3 linked regions of the Sus scrofa genome follow. The protein of the gene in region 1 purifies or fractionates together with the protein of each later gene. This does not show direct contact. Links are inferred from orthologs where the notes say so. Each region holds a gene or a part of one and is shown in the gene's direction. Other genes may lie near its edges. The genes, in order: GAPDH, EEF1A1 and SIAH1.

What was found.
Region 2: the proteins of GAPDH (region 1) and EEF1A1 fractionate together in Homo sapiens (co-fractionation; 3 studies listed by BioGRID). This does not show direct contact. The link is inferred for Sus scrofa from reciprocal best matches to the Homo sapiens genes GAPDH and EEF1A1.
Region 3: the proteins of GAPDH (region 1) and SIAH1 purify together in Homo sapiens (affinity purification with western blotting; 4 studies listed by BioGRID). This does not show direct contact. The link is inferred for Sus scrofa from reciprocal best matches to the Homo sapiens genes GAPDH and SIAH1.

Annotation. Positions count from the first base shown.
Region 1 is NC_010447.5:64,131,124-64,135,510, reverse strand, and holds the start of GAPDH (glyceraldehyde-3-phosphate dehydrogenase), read left to right. Parts: upstream 1-1,490; 5' UTR 1,491-1,572; intron 1,573-1,845; 5' UTR 1,846-1,863; coding exon 1,864-1,886; exon of another isoform or gene 1,887-1,979; coding exon of another isoform or gene 1,980-2,032; exon of another isoform or gene 2,033-3,660; coding exon 3,661-3,760; intron 3,761-3,839; coding exon 3,840-3,946; intron 3,947-4,067; coding exon 4,068-4,158; exon of another isoform or gene 4,159-4,284; coding exon 4,285-4,387. UniProt on the Homo sapiens protein: Has both glyceraldehyde-3-phosphate dehydrogenase and nitrosylase activities, thereby playing a role in glycolysis and nuclear functions, respectively.
Region 2 is NC_010443.5:92,420,593-92,424,767, forward strand, and holds the start of EEF1A1 (elongation factor 1-alpha 1), read left to right. Parts: upstream 1-1,358; 5' UTR 1,359-1,391; intron 1,392-2,074; 5' UTR 2,075-2,109; coding exon 2,110-2,253; intron 2,254-2,448; coding exon 2,449-2,628; intron 2,629-2,749; coding exon 2,750-3,046; intron 3,047-3,129; coding exon 3,130-3,280; intron 3,281-3,368; coding exon 3,369-3,625; intron 3,626-3,713; coding exon 3,714-3,948; intron 3,949-4,048; coding exon 4,049-4,173; 3' UTR 4,174-4,175. UniProt on the Homo sapiens protein: Translation elongation factor that catalyzes the GTP-dependent binding of aminoacyl-tRNA (aa-tRNA) to the A-site of ribosomes during the elongation phase of protein synthesis.
Region 3 is NC_010448.4:36,359,223-36,363,455, forward strand, and holds the start of SIAH1 (E3 ubiquitin-protein ligase SIAH1), read left to right. Parts: upstream 1-1,337; 5' UTR 1,338-2,020; coding exon 2,021-2,111; intron 2,112-3,620; exon of another isoform or gene 3,621-3,683; coding exon of another isoform or gene 3,684-3,768; intron 3,769-4,233. UniProt on the Homo sapiens protein: E3 ubiquitin-protein ligase that mediates ubiquitination and subsequent proteasomal degradation of target proteins.

The DNA of each region.
Region 1 (4,387 bases):
CCAAGGAAGGAGGGCAGTCCCAGAAAGGGAAGGGACAGGACAGGCTTGAGTCGGGGTGCGGGGCAGCGTGCTCTCTGCCTTTTAAGCAAAGGTTATCATCCTGCGGGCTAAACTTAGCCACAGGCTTTTCAGCTGGAAAAGGGGGCTGGTCTCAGGTTACGCTGGGCCAGCAAAGAGGCCCCAATTCCTTCCACCAGCACCTGCTAATGGGCAACGTCCATTCCACCCTCCCCCCACCTTCCCTGAACCTTCAACACTTCAAGTCCTCAGAACCAACCCATCTTTCATCCTCTGCTCACAAACCTGGCCCAGCCCCAGCTTCTGAGGGACTGGTCTTGGAGAAGAATGGATTTCCTCCTCCACATCACGTCTGGGAAGGGGCTAGGGGCCCTTGTCCCCACCCTGTGTCCAAGACCTCCCAATCTTTTCCCTCTTATGGACACCTCACCCTGCCCCCAACATCCCCTGGGCGCAGCCAGTGAAAGGGAGGCCCTGACTGCAGGGCTGGCCTGCACGTCCCAGGATGGGGAGGGACTTCCGCTCTCACGTCCTGCTCTGCCCAGGGCTGGATGGGGTGAAAGGGACATTGTCTCCCAGCCCGGGCCGCTCAGCCCTCAAATTTCCCAGGAGCAACTTTGTGGGAGACCTCTGAGCCTCTACCTGGCCAGCCCCCCAAAGCGATCCTGTCCCCTCGCTGAGGCCCCAGCCAGCCAGGGCCTGGGGGAGAGCAGCTGGTGCACACAGGTCCTGGTTTGTCTGCTCGATTCTCAGATGTCCAGGCTGCCTGTCCTGCAGGGCATCGTGACCTTCAGTGCAGAAACTTCCCTCTCAGGCCTCCTTCCGAGCCTCCTTCCTCTCCAGGCCTCCCACTGGCCAGGGCCAGCCGCGGTCCCCAGCCCGGGGAGGCCAGGAGCCAAGAGAAGGGGAGGGGGGAAAGGGGAAGGGGGCTGGAGAGGGCCTTGCTGGAGGCCCCTCCCGGGCCTTTTCCTCTGTAGTTCCTGGGTCACTACCGAAGAGCCTCGAGAAGTTCCTCAATCTTCCCGCTTCTCAGCTTTTGAAGGGGGGGGGGTAGGGGAGACTGCAGCCGCGAGCTGCGAGCCGCGCCCCCAACCCCGGGTTCCGCTCCAATTTCCCATCCCACTGGCTCCCCATATCCTCCCGTTACATCCCTGCAGCAACTTTAACGTCCCTGGCTCCTTGGGTGTCCTCAGTTTTCGCCAGGGCCCCCTCCTCCTAGTCCACTGCCCCCTGCAGTACAACCCCAACCGGGCCAGGCAGCATCACCGGTCCCCTCCCCCTCTCCGTCCTCAGCCCACTTGTGTGGCGCGTGCACATTGGCAGAACCAGGCGGGTCCAAAGGAAAAAAAAAGAAGAAGTGGGGGTCGGCTACTCGCGACTTTACGGGCGCACGTAGCTCAGGCCTCCGCTGCTGGAGCTAGGACTGGGCGAGGCGAGCCCACGTCACCCCGCCCCCGCCCCGCCCCCTGCCCTATAAATTCCGGCTGCAGCCTTCCCCTGCGCTCTCTGCTCCTCCCCGTTCGACAGACAGCCGTGTGTTCCGTGCATTGCCAGGTAAAGCCTGGCGGAGTGGAGCCACAAGGGTTCGAGGACTGGTCCGAAAGGGACCGGGGGCCGTGCGCGGTCTGGGAGTGTGGGTGCGGGGCCCCGGCTGGAGCCGGAGTTGTGGCTGCGCCGGGCCGGGCCCCTGCATTGCGGGTTGAGGGGGAGGAAGGACGTGCAGAAGAGCAGAGCGAGGATGGAGGCCTGGGGGAGGGGCGGGGAGGGCACCGTCGGGCTCCAGCCGCTTTGCCCCGCGATCTAATGTTCTCTTTCCTCTGCCGGCAGCCGCGTCCCTGAGACACGATGGTGAAGGTCGGAGTGAACGGGTGAGTTAGGGGGTGGGGCAGGGTGGGGCAGTAAGTACTGCAGCCCCCACCAAATTGCGTCCGCAGGTCTCGCCCTACCGGGTCTGTGCAAGCATGTGGGGGACTTGGATGGGGTGGTCGTACCCCACCCCCAAGGAGAACTCAAGGTCAGCGCTCGGACCTGGAGGAGGCCCTCGCAAGGCCTCGTGTCCCCCATCCCTGGCTGTTGCGCGTTCTGTAACTCCGCCTCTGCGGAGCCTTCCTCTTCACCTGCCGCAGATACACAGCCCTGGAGTCTCCAATTCTTGCTTTGGCCCCATCCCCTAATCCCCCAGCTGGGGCTCTTTCTTTCCTTTCGCGCCCTGCGGGGTCACGTGAAGGGGAGGAGCCCATCCCCCCAGCCGCAACCAGTGCCCCCAGCCGGGCAGCCCCGGGATGCAGGAGGCACAGCTGCTGTGCAGAACCAGCTGGGAGGGGGCATCTGCGGTAACCTAGCCGCCATGTTGCAACTAGGAAGGAAATGAATGAACCGCCGTTAGGAAATCTTCCTGAGTCCTTCAATCTTTCTCCTTACTTGCCCATGACTAAGCCTTCTACCCCTGCCTCGTGGGGTGGAGTCTCCTTTATCCGGTAACCCAGGTCCGGCCACGCTTTCCCCTTCTTAGTCAGCTGGACCTCAGCTCTTAGCAAACTAACCCTAGAGCATCCCTTCAAGCCCCAGCCAGATTCCCCCCCCCGGGGATGAGGGGATGCTTTTTCTGGATGGTTCTCTGATGAATCAAAAACGGGGCTTTATGGGGGTGGTCTTGGGTTGTTTCCGGGTTGTTTCCCTTCTCTTTCTCCGGAGAGGTGTGGTAGCGTTGGCTTGGTGCCATGCCGGGGGAGCTGAGTCATGGGTACTTAGAAATTTTCCACAAAATGGCTCCCGGAGCCGGCGGAGCCGCAGCCCCTGTCTCTGCATCAGTGCTCCTTGAAGCTGCTTCCTTCCATCCATGCCTAGGGTTGACCCCACCCTAAAGGCCAAGCTGTAAAGGTCACCAGGAGGATTAGATGTCCGTGAGCCTCGGGAATCCTGCCCTTCTCCCCATCCCCTCTTCCAGAAACCAGATCCCCACTCCACCCTAAGCTGGGGTTAAATATAGCTGCCTGACCTTTCTGCAGCTGGGGGCCTGGGCTTCTCCCTCTCCTTCCCCCCCGCTCCCCACACGTCTATTGCTCCCACTCCTGATTTTGGGAAAAGAGCTAACAAAGACAGGTTCCTAACAAATCAGAAGCCCGGGATTCTGGGTTTGAGAAACGGCTTTCCCTTTTGTAGGAGGGACTTGGGGAAGGGGGGGGGTTTCCCTGGCCAGTTAACTTCTGACCTTTGCTCTTGCCCTTTGAGCTGGGTGATGCCAAGTGTGCAAGATTTTGCTCCCTAGAGGGTGTGGCCTGAAGCTGGCCAGATAGGAACAAGCATTTACCGACAGTGGGCCTGAGGAATGCCATGTGCCGGCCATGTGCCCAGACTGTAGGTGGCAGCAGCAGTGCACCACCCTGTCACCCCTTAACAGATTTCAGATGACCAGGGGGTGTGGGCCTGTCTCGGAGCTTCATCACCTCTTGGGCAGGATGGGAGCTTTTCACTTTGTGGCTGTGCTGGGAAGCCAGGCTGGTCTGGCAGGGTTGTGCGAGGAGGAGGAAATGAGATCTCCTGGTAGGAAAGTGCCCGCGCTGACAGCGGGCGCGTGGGCCTGGGACTGCTTACATCTCCAGGAGAGCTCACTCCTCCCTCCTCGCCTCTTGTCCCCCTCAGATTTGGCCGCATCGGGCGCCTGGTCACCAGGGCTGCTTTTAACTCTGGCAAAGTGGACATTGTCGCCATCAATGACCCCTTCATTGACCTCCACTACATGGTGAGTGGCCCCCGTGGCGGGGGCGGGGACAGAGCCTGCCAGGGCGCAGCCCCTTGATGCCCTCCCTCGTCCCCCCCAGGTCTACATGTTCCAGTATGATTCCACCCACGGCAAGTTCCACGGCACAGTCAAGGCGGAGAACGGGAAGCTTGTCATCAATGGAAAGGCCATCACCATCTTCCAGGAGTAAGTATGGAAGACGGAACCGGAAGAGCTTTGCCTTGGAGGAGGTGGTGCTGGGACGGGGTGACCACCTTGGGTCTGTGGTCCCCCGCGCCCCTGAACTTTGTCCTGTCTTCCCTTCTAGGCGAGATCCCGCCAACATCAAATGGGGTGATGCTGGTGCTACGTATGTTGTGGAGTCCACTGGTGTCTTCACGACCATGGAGAAGGCCGGGGTGAGCGGCAGGGAACCGAAAGAGGAGGGGACCTAACCGCGGGGTTGGTGTAGCGGGGAGACTGGGGGAGGCTGACTTGGACCAGGAAAGGGGAAGCCCGGGTGTCTGACTGCTCCTCTGCTGCAGGCTCACTTGAAGGGTGGGGCCAAGAGGGTCATCATCTCTGCCCCTTCTGCCGATGCCCCCATGTTTGTGATGGGCGTGAACCATGAGAAGTATGACAACTCCC
Region 2 (4,175 bases), on another chromosome or scaffold:
CTTCCCCCAAAGGAAGTATTTCTTTTGCATATGCTTCGGAGCCACTCTTAGCTCTGGCCACATAGTAGGTTCTCAAATATTTGTTGATAGATTGGCTCAAAAAGTTGCAGTAGTGCTCTACACGTGGAAGAGACGATCTAGTAATTAGCTCATTTAAAATAAAGGTTCCTCTTTCTTCAGGAATATTTTTGAATATCTGCCTGATTGCCAACCAAAAAGGCCTCATCTTGTCTTGCCCTGGATTTATGCCTAAAATGCAGTCACAATGGATAGGACGACAAAAGATGAAGCCGTTTATTCAAATGGGATAGGCCATTTTTGAGAAACAGTGATTTCACAGCAAACGTTGGAGTAGTAAATTGGGTGGATAAGCTTCCTGGCGCTGTAGATCTTAGTCTCTACTTGAGATCGTGTATAAGCACTGAACTCAAAAAATTCTTTTTAGGTTTTTCATGCTTGCAACCAAGAGTATACACTGGAAAAAAAATGTTAATAGGAGGGTAGACACACACTCAGGGTCTTAAACGTAATAAAATTAGGATTAGAAGTAAAGAAAACTGTAGTACTTAAGTCTATTCTAAACTCAAAAACTGGACGTCTGGAGTACCACGTGGTGTGTAGAACGAACTTAGATAAAAGAACTGAATGGAAAAAGCCAAGAGGTCAGCGCAGGAGCCTGTTCGCCAGGCTGTTGGTCAGCAAACTGAGCCACTCGCGGATTCTCGGCCCTGAAGACCGCCCCGAGGCCCCTGCCGCCGCGGTTCCCCGGCCTTTTACGCCTCCCTCTCCAGCCGGAAGGGGCGCGGACGGCAAGGGCGGTGGAGAAGCCCCGGCAGAGGAAGCGGCTCCAGGGGTTAGTCCTTAACCTGCGAGACCGCAAGACTGAGGACCGGTGGGGTACTGCCGGGTAAGGGCTCCCATCTCGGTCCAACTTTGCAGTTAAGCTACGACCGGTTCAGGGAAGATTCTGGACGCCTCCCCGCCGCCCCACCCCCCAGCTGTGCGGAGAGTAATTCATACAAAAGGAGGACTCTCCTCAGCCAGGGAAATCCCAGGGACCGTCGATAAACTCCCACTAAACCTAGAACCGAGTGAGCGCTCGACCCCGCCTCCCACCCACCAGCAGTCGTCATCCTCCTGGTTGAGAGGAGCATGCGCCGGGCGCCGTGTGCTCGTCAGTGGGCTGAACGCACATCGCCCACGGTCCCCGAAGATGGGGGGAGGGGACGGCGGTGGAACCGGTGCCGGGTGGAGGTGGCGCGGGGTAAACTGGGAAAGTGGTGTCGTGTGCTGGCTCCGCCCTTTTCCCCGAGGGTGGGGGAGGACCATATATAAGCGCCGTGGTCCCCGCGAACGTTCTTTTTCGCAACGGGTTTGCCGCCAGGACACAGGTGAGTACGGGTGTGGCCTCCGTCCGCATGGCCTCCGCCGGTGGCCACGGCCTTAGCGTGCCTCCCGGCCCCCCGCGCGTAGAGGGCTCTGCGCCCTGGTCCTGATTCCGAGCTGCGGGCGGGGGGAGGTGGAGAACTCGAGGCCCTCCGCTCTCGCGGTTCCCTACCGCGTGCCCGGTGGCGGCCTGCTGGGGCGCCGTGGCCGCCGCGTGCGATCCGCGCCTTCGCGCCCGCCCCGTCTGTCTTCGCGCTCGAGTTCGGCCGGCAGCCGCGTGTTACTGCCAGGGCGGCCCAGCCGAGGCCGCCCAAGGTGGCCTCCGTGCCCGGCGGTCCCGGGGCAGACGGCCGCGGCGGGGCGGGGCGGGCGGTCGGAGACCCAGCGCCCCGCCCGGGCGGGCTGCGAGCGCGGAAAGATGGCCGCTCCCGGTCTCAAGATGGAGGACGCGGACGGCGGGCGGCGCACAAAGGGCCGGGCGGTGCTGCCCGCGCCGCTTCCCGGGACTCGCGGCCCGGGTGGGGGAGGGGCTGGGCGCCGGGGCGGCCCCGTTCGCTGGGTGTAGGCCGGGCAGGGCCCGCAGGGCGCCGGTGCTAATGCTCCCTGGAGTTTGCCCTTGGCTGTTGGGGTTGTGCCTGAGTCTCCGGTCGTCGGGACAGTAGTTTAAAGAAGGTTTTTGTCGTCTTAGGTGTCGTGAAAGCCATCGCTAAAAGCTAAGCAAAAATGGGAAAGGAGAAGACTCACATCAACATCGTCGTCATCGGACACGTCGATTCGGGCAAGTCCACCACTACTGGCCATCTGATCTACAAATGCGGTGGGATCGACAAAAGAACCATCGAAAAGTTCGAAAAAGAGGCTGCGGAGGTCGGTAAAGTAACGTCAGCAAATTAAGTGGTAGTTCTCTAAAACTAGTGTATATCTGACTTGAACTAGTACATTGCAAAGTTTGCTAAGTGGCTTAACTCCAGCCAAGTTTAGGAGATGGAAGTGAAACCTAGCATTGCTTCCAAGTGGGACTAAGGAGTTTAGTTACCGAGTAACCCTTCTTAATCCCTGCAGATGGGAAAGGGCTCCTTCAAGTATGCCTGGGTCTTGGACAAACTAAAGGCTGAACGTGAGCGTGGTATTACCATTGACATCTCCCTGTGGAAATTCGAGACCAGCAAGTACTACGTGACCATCATTGATGCTCCAGGACACAGAGACTTTATTAAGAACATGATTACAGGCACTTCCCAGGTTTGTAGGATTAAGAACTCCTGAGAGTAACATTTTGAGTTATCTATAAATTGGCGAAACCATGGATCTGTCCTTTTTGGAGAGGTTTTCACAGGGTGTGGCCTTTTTTTCTTTTTTAAAGGCTGACTGTGCTGTCCTGATTGTTGCTGCTGGTGTTGGTGAATTCGAAGCAGGTATTTCCAAGAACGGGCAGACCCGTGAGCATGCTCTTCTGGCCTACACCCTGGGTGTGAAACAGCTCATTGTTGGCGTTAACAAAATGGATTCCACTGAGCCACCCTACAGCCAGAAGAGATATGAAGAGATTGTAAAGGAAGTCAGCACCTACATTAAGAAAATTGGCTACAACCCTGATACAGTAGCATTTGTGCCAATTTCTGGCTGGAATGGTGACAACATGCTGGAGCCAAGTGCTAATGTAAGTGGTTTTGATGAGTTCTCAAAACTTAAGTCTGGGAAGGGATAAGTTTGAAAACACTAATTGATGATCTTGTGTTTTAGATGCCTTGGTTCAAGGGATGGAAAGTCACCCGTAAAGATGGCAATGCCAGTGGAACCACACTGCTTGAAGCTCTGGATTGCATTCTACCACCAACTCGTCCAACTGACAAGCCCTTGCGCCTGCCCCTCCAGGACGTCTACAAAATTGGTGGTAAGTTGAACGTTACACTCAGCTGGTATGGGTTGCAGTGATGTTTGTCTTCATACGAGATAATTATGCTGTGCTGTGAATACTTCAGGTATTGGTACAGTCCCTGTGGGCCGAGTGGAGACCGGTGTTCTCAAACCTGGCATGGTGGTCACCTTTGCTCCAGTCAATGTTACAACTGAAGTCAAGTCTGTTGAAATGCACCATGAAGCTTTGAGTGAAGCCCTTCCTGGGGACAACGTGGGCTTTAATGTCAAAAACGTGTCTGTCAAAGACGTTCGTCGTGGCAATGTGGCTGGTGACAGCAAAAATGACCCACCTATGGAAGCAGCTGGCTTTACAGCTCAGGTAACACTTCAGTGACAGGTTTTTAAACTGCCAGAACCTTAACTGTCTAAATGTCTAAAATGTGCTAAATGCAAATTTTCTCCCTAAGGTGATTATCCTGAACCATCCTGGCCAGATCAGTGCTGGTTACGCACCTGTGCTGGATTGCCACACAGCTCACATTGCCTGCAAGTTTGCTGAACTGAAGGAGAAGATTGATCGTCGTTCTGGGAAAAAGCTGGAAGATGGCCCCAAGTTCTTGAAATCTGGTGATGCTGCCATTGTCGATATGGTTCCTGGCAAGCCCATGTGTGTTGAGAGCTTCTCTGACTATCCTCCTCTGGGTAAGAGTGCCTTTTTAGTGTAATTAAGCTTCAGTAAAAATGGAAAAGCAGTTATGTAGAGAAAGTGTTTCTCATGGTGATTTAATTTTTGTTTTAATAGGCCGATTTGCTGTTCGTGACATGAGACAGACAGTTGCTGTGGGTGTCATCAAAGCTGTGGACAAGAAGGCAGCTGGAGCTGGCAAGGTCACCAAGTCTGCTCAGAAAGCTCAGAAGGCTAAATGAAT
Region 3 (4,233 bases), on another chromosome or scaffold:
GTTGGTGACCTCAGGCAAGGCAGGTTAACTTTTGGAATTATGTAAGTGAATACTTCCATATTTTGGAATCTGTACCACCTGTAATGTACGTAATTTACCCATCTCCCTTAATCCATGTAAAAGCATGCAAGGCTGGCAGTACTGTTCTGATTTTACAGTTGAGTAGGTGGTGAAAGCTGGGTTTGAATCCCAGTGTAGATGACTCCGGAACTCTTCCATTTTTACTGTCGTGACTGACTTACTGAGAAATGTGTCCATAGATTAATGGTTTTCAGACAGTGTTGTAAGCTTCAATACAGGTCCTTTGGAAGTTGGAGGAAAAAAACTTTTTAGTTTGAGGAATTTGTCATCCTTTTTACTTGTTTTACAAATTTGGACTCTGTCTTCATACTGTTTGGAAAGAGTTTTTCTGCCTAAAACATTTAAAAGTCTTCTACTTTAGAAACCCAACACCTAGCTAGAGTGAATATGTATTAAAAAATAAAGACATTGGTAATAATAATTTAGATTTGTCCGTGGACAGATTATATTTTCAGTTATGTTTCAGTTCCTAATGATGTTTTGTCTAATATCAAAATGAGACTGAGGTGACTGAATACTATTAATAGGATGGGGAAGTGATTTGAATTAAAATTTTATGCTGAAAATGGACAATCTACAATTTACACAGGGTTCACTCTCCACTACAAGCTCTTGCTCCCTTTAAAGGCTGCCCTAAGCGTGATGTAATGACAGGTTAAACCTCTGAATGCTGGAGCTGACGCAATGAGAATCTGAGGCCCAGGACTTTATTGGGACAAGGGTAATGCTTGTTTAAAAACAAAACAAGCTATTTTGTTTAATGAGGGCGTTTAAGATGGCTTTCCCAGAGTGGGAAGAGAATAAAATCTCAATTTGGACGTTGAAGTAGAAGTTTAATATGGTTATGTGTTTACGACTCTCACTGCGACGGCTTCTCGAATCGAGAAAGGAAGTTTGAAATAAGGTGCTGACGGCGGTAAAAATGGAGAAGTGAGTTAGAATTGAGGAAATAAGGTAGTTGACATCTGATAAATAGTTAATGAAGTAGACAAATGCTTTTGCTATATAAAAATCCGGAGTTTGCACGGTTAACTGGCAGAGTATAGAGCAGAGAAGAGTGCTTGTCTGGCCACGTATTTTCCATATATTCTATGTAGCGCTATGAAACCACCCCAAATTGCGATATCCGACTGTTTGGGCCTACTGAAACGGAGTGTTTCCACCTCACGTAAGCCGGTGGAAAAGCTGAGGCGTGCGGTATGTCTCCGGGGATCGCGAGGTTCTGCGGAGCTGGGTAGCTGTGTGGGAGTTGCGCGCTGCATGCTCGGGATTCTTGCCAGAGCCGTGCAGGAGCGACTGCGAGCCCTGGAGCCGCCCTAGGCCGAGTGGGGCGGAGCTTGCAGCCCCGCCTCCATGCGCCGGCCCGCCCCTCTCCTGCCGCGGCAGCCACCGCCCTGAGTGCTTTGAGCCTTCGGCCGGCTGGCAATCTGCGTTGGAGCAGGCTCTCCCAGCGGCAGCCCGGCCCAGGCCTCCAAATGGCTCTCCCCGCGGGCCGGACCCTGCAGCGGTAGCTCCAGAGCTGGGACTGAGAGCTGCACCGCTTCGTCCAGTCGCTGCTGCGCACTCTCCAGCCCTGTCCTTCACCGAGCTGGCCAGAGCCTAGCCGATGAATTTGGGAAGACAAACTTGGGAGACAGACGAAGGTTTAGGGCCCAGCAGAGGACAGCTCAGCAATGGCTCCCATTTTTGGAGACGCAGGCGAATTTGAGCTCATGGGGAGGTGTGGTCGACTCCTCTCGGGGCGGGAGGGTGCTTCATTTCTCTGCCGCTGTAGCCGGTGCTTCTGAGGAGTGAATGGAGTGTATGGGGCATGGCACGTGCCTTCCTGTCTTGAAAAGTTGACCCTGGACAAATTTAGGAACGGAAGGTGTCCAGTAGGGCCCTCTGTTACAAATAGTCTCTATTCGTGGGGGAAAGGCTATGAGCTGCCTGGCTTCTCATGACCGGGAAGTCTCCCTTACCTTTTCTGTACTCCTGGAGGGGCGTCTTGCTCACTTGTTTACCAGCATCCGGGACAAGGAAGAGAAAAGGTATTACTGTTAAGAGACTGGGTTGCTTAAATTGTGAATTGGGCAAGTTGTTATAAGCTGGTGGAATTTGAATGGATCAGGGAATGGCTGCAGCGTAATTGAGCTGGAGATGTTTCTTTTGAGCAGCTCTACTTTTCTCAGTTTAAAACAAACTTCAGGTTATGCAATGACTCCTCCAGGGTTGTCCAGACACTTGAATCCTTGATTCCTACTGCAGGTCTGCTGTGTTCTTAGGATTCCTTTTCTGTTTGAAGATGGAGCTGGGTTCCATCTTCTGAGCTTTGGGAGGTTTTAGCAGCTGCTGTCCTGTAATACTTTCATTCATAAGAATTACAAGCTACATTTTGCTTGCTTTTCACACTTTGAATAGGAATTTAAATCGTGCTTTTTCTACAGTGTTTGGAAAAATAATAAATATGTGTTATATCATAAGTCTGAACTATTGATGATAAATGTGTAACTATTTTCCTAGGTCAAGAAATTAAACAGTAATGCTTTGCTTGCTTAGTAGTTATATTATGTTGAATACAAACTGAGTTTACTGCCTCCTGACGCGATTTGTTGTTTTGGCGTAGTGAATTGAAAGGCATTGGTGGCTTAGATCATTTTGTGCTGAAGGAACCACTTCCCAGTTACTACGTTGCTCTCTTAAAATAAGCAGCATAAAATGGACTATGAAGTAAGCATACAGCACACATACAGGGCATTTTGGTAATGCTAAGCCCATTGTTCTGCTAGTGACCTAAAATAAAATGCATAGATCATCATATGCACAAAAAAATCTCCTGGGGAAAACTGGATTACAGGAGAGTTCCTTTATATTGGTCTAGAACACCTGGGTTACACAGGGCTTCAGATGGTAAGAATTGATTCCTGTTGTCTTAAATCCTTGTGATGGGCCACATTATGATAGAATCCTGTGGTACTTTTGTTTCTCCTTGAACTTTAGTCCTTTAGTGACAGTGATCTTTCCGATAGAATAATTACAGTTAGGGAAAATATGAAATCTGAAGAGTTAAATTTTAGTTTGATAGAAATATGGCTTAGGGTTCTTGGGAATATACTCTTAAGGACGTCCGTAGACTGATCTTTTGTCATCCCCAAGAAAATGGCCTACCGTATCCCAGCAAAGGTAGATTCCTGGGAAAAGCTGCTAGTTTATCTTTCATTCACCCTGACACATAGTTAACATTGTTGATCATTTCTTCCAGATGGCATTTATTTCATAAATAGTGTTTATTGGTGTGCTGATGAATGCTTCAGCAACACTGGTGAACTTTAGGGTACGAGGCATTCTTTACCTGTTGACTCTATCCCTCACCTCCACTGTTGTGTGAGTCTCTCTGGTGCTTTTGATCTTTATTTTCTTGACTCTCCTTCACCTTTGCAAATTATACTGGTTTATATTGTAGAATGGAAGTAGAATGATTTACTGTGTCTAAATACTGGACTCAGAACTTTTATGAGAGGATGGCCCTCCATTTCTCTTCTACTTTCTCACTTTTGAAGGGGGCATGGATCAGTAGGAAACAAGATTAATTCCTAGCTGGTGTTAACTTTCCATGAAGATGGATGATGAAGAGGAGGTGGATGGTGGGATGGCAGCAGACCCTTCCCCTTGTCGCCCCTTTCATTCCCCAAATTACTCCTAGAGCAGGTAACCGTTCATCATTAGGAGGAATTAATCAAAGTCAGTACCCTGGTGATCCTTTGGATCACATGTAACTCCCTGGAGCACATGTAACAGCTGACTCAGAATGAGTAGGGGAGGTGGGGGAGAAAGTCCAGTCAAAACTGATTTTATTGCACTTAAGCTCCTTCTTGTTTATGGTCCAGTTTCTATTTTAGCATTTATTCCACGTAGTCCATCCAAGTATGATTTTTAACATTTTTTTTTTTTATTTTTTTTTATTTTTTTGTCTTTTTGTCTGTTGTTGTTGTTGTTGCTATTTCTTGGGCCGCTCCCGCGGCATATGGAGGTTCCCAGGCCAGGGGTTGAATCGGAGCTGTAGCCACCGGCCTACACCAGAGCCACAGCAACGCGGGATCCGAGCCGCGTCTGCAACCTACACCACAGCTCACGGCAACGCCGGATCATTAACCCACTGAGCAAGGGCAGGGA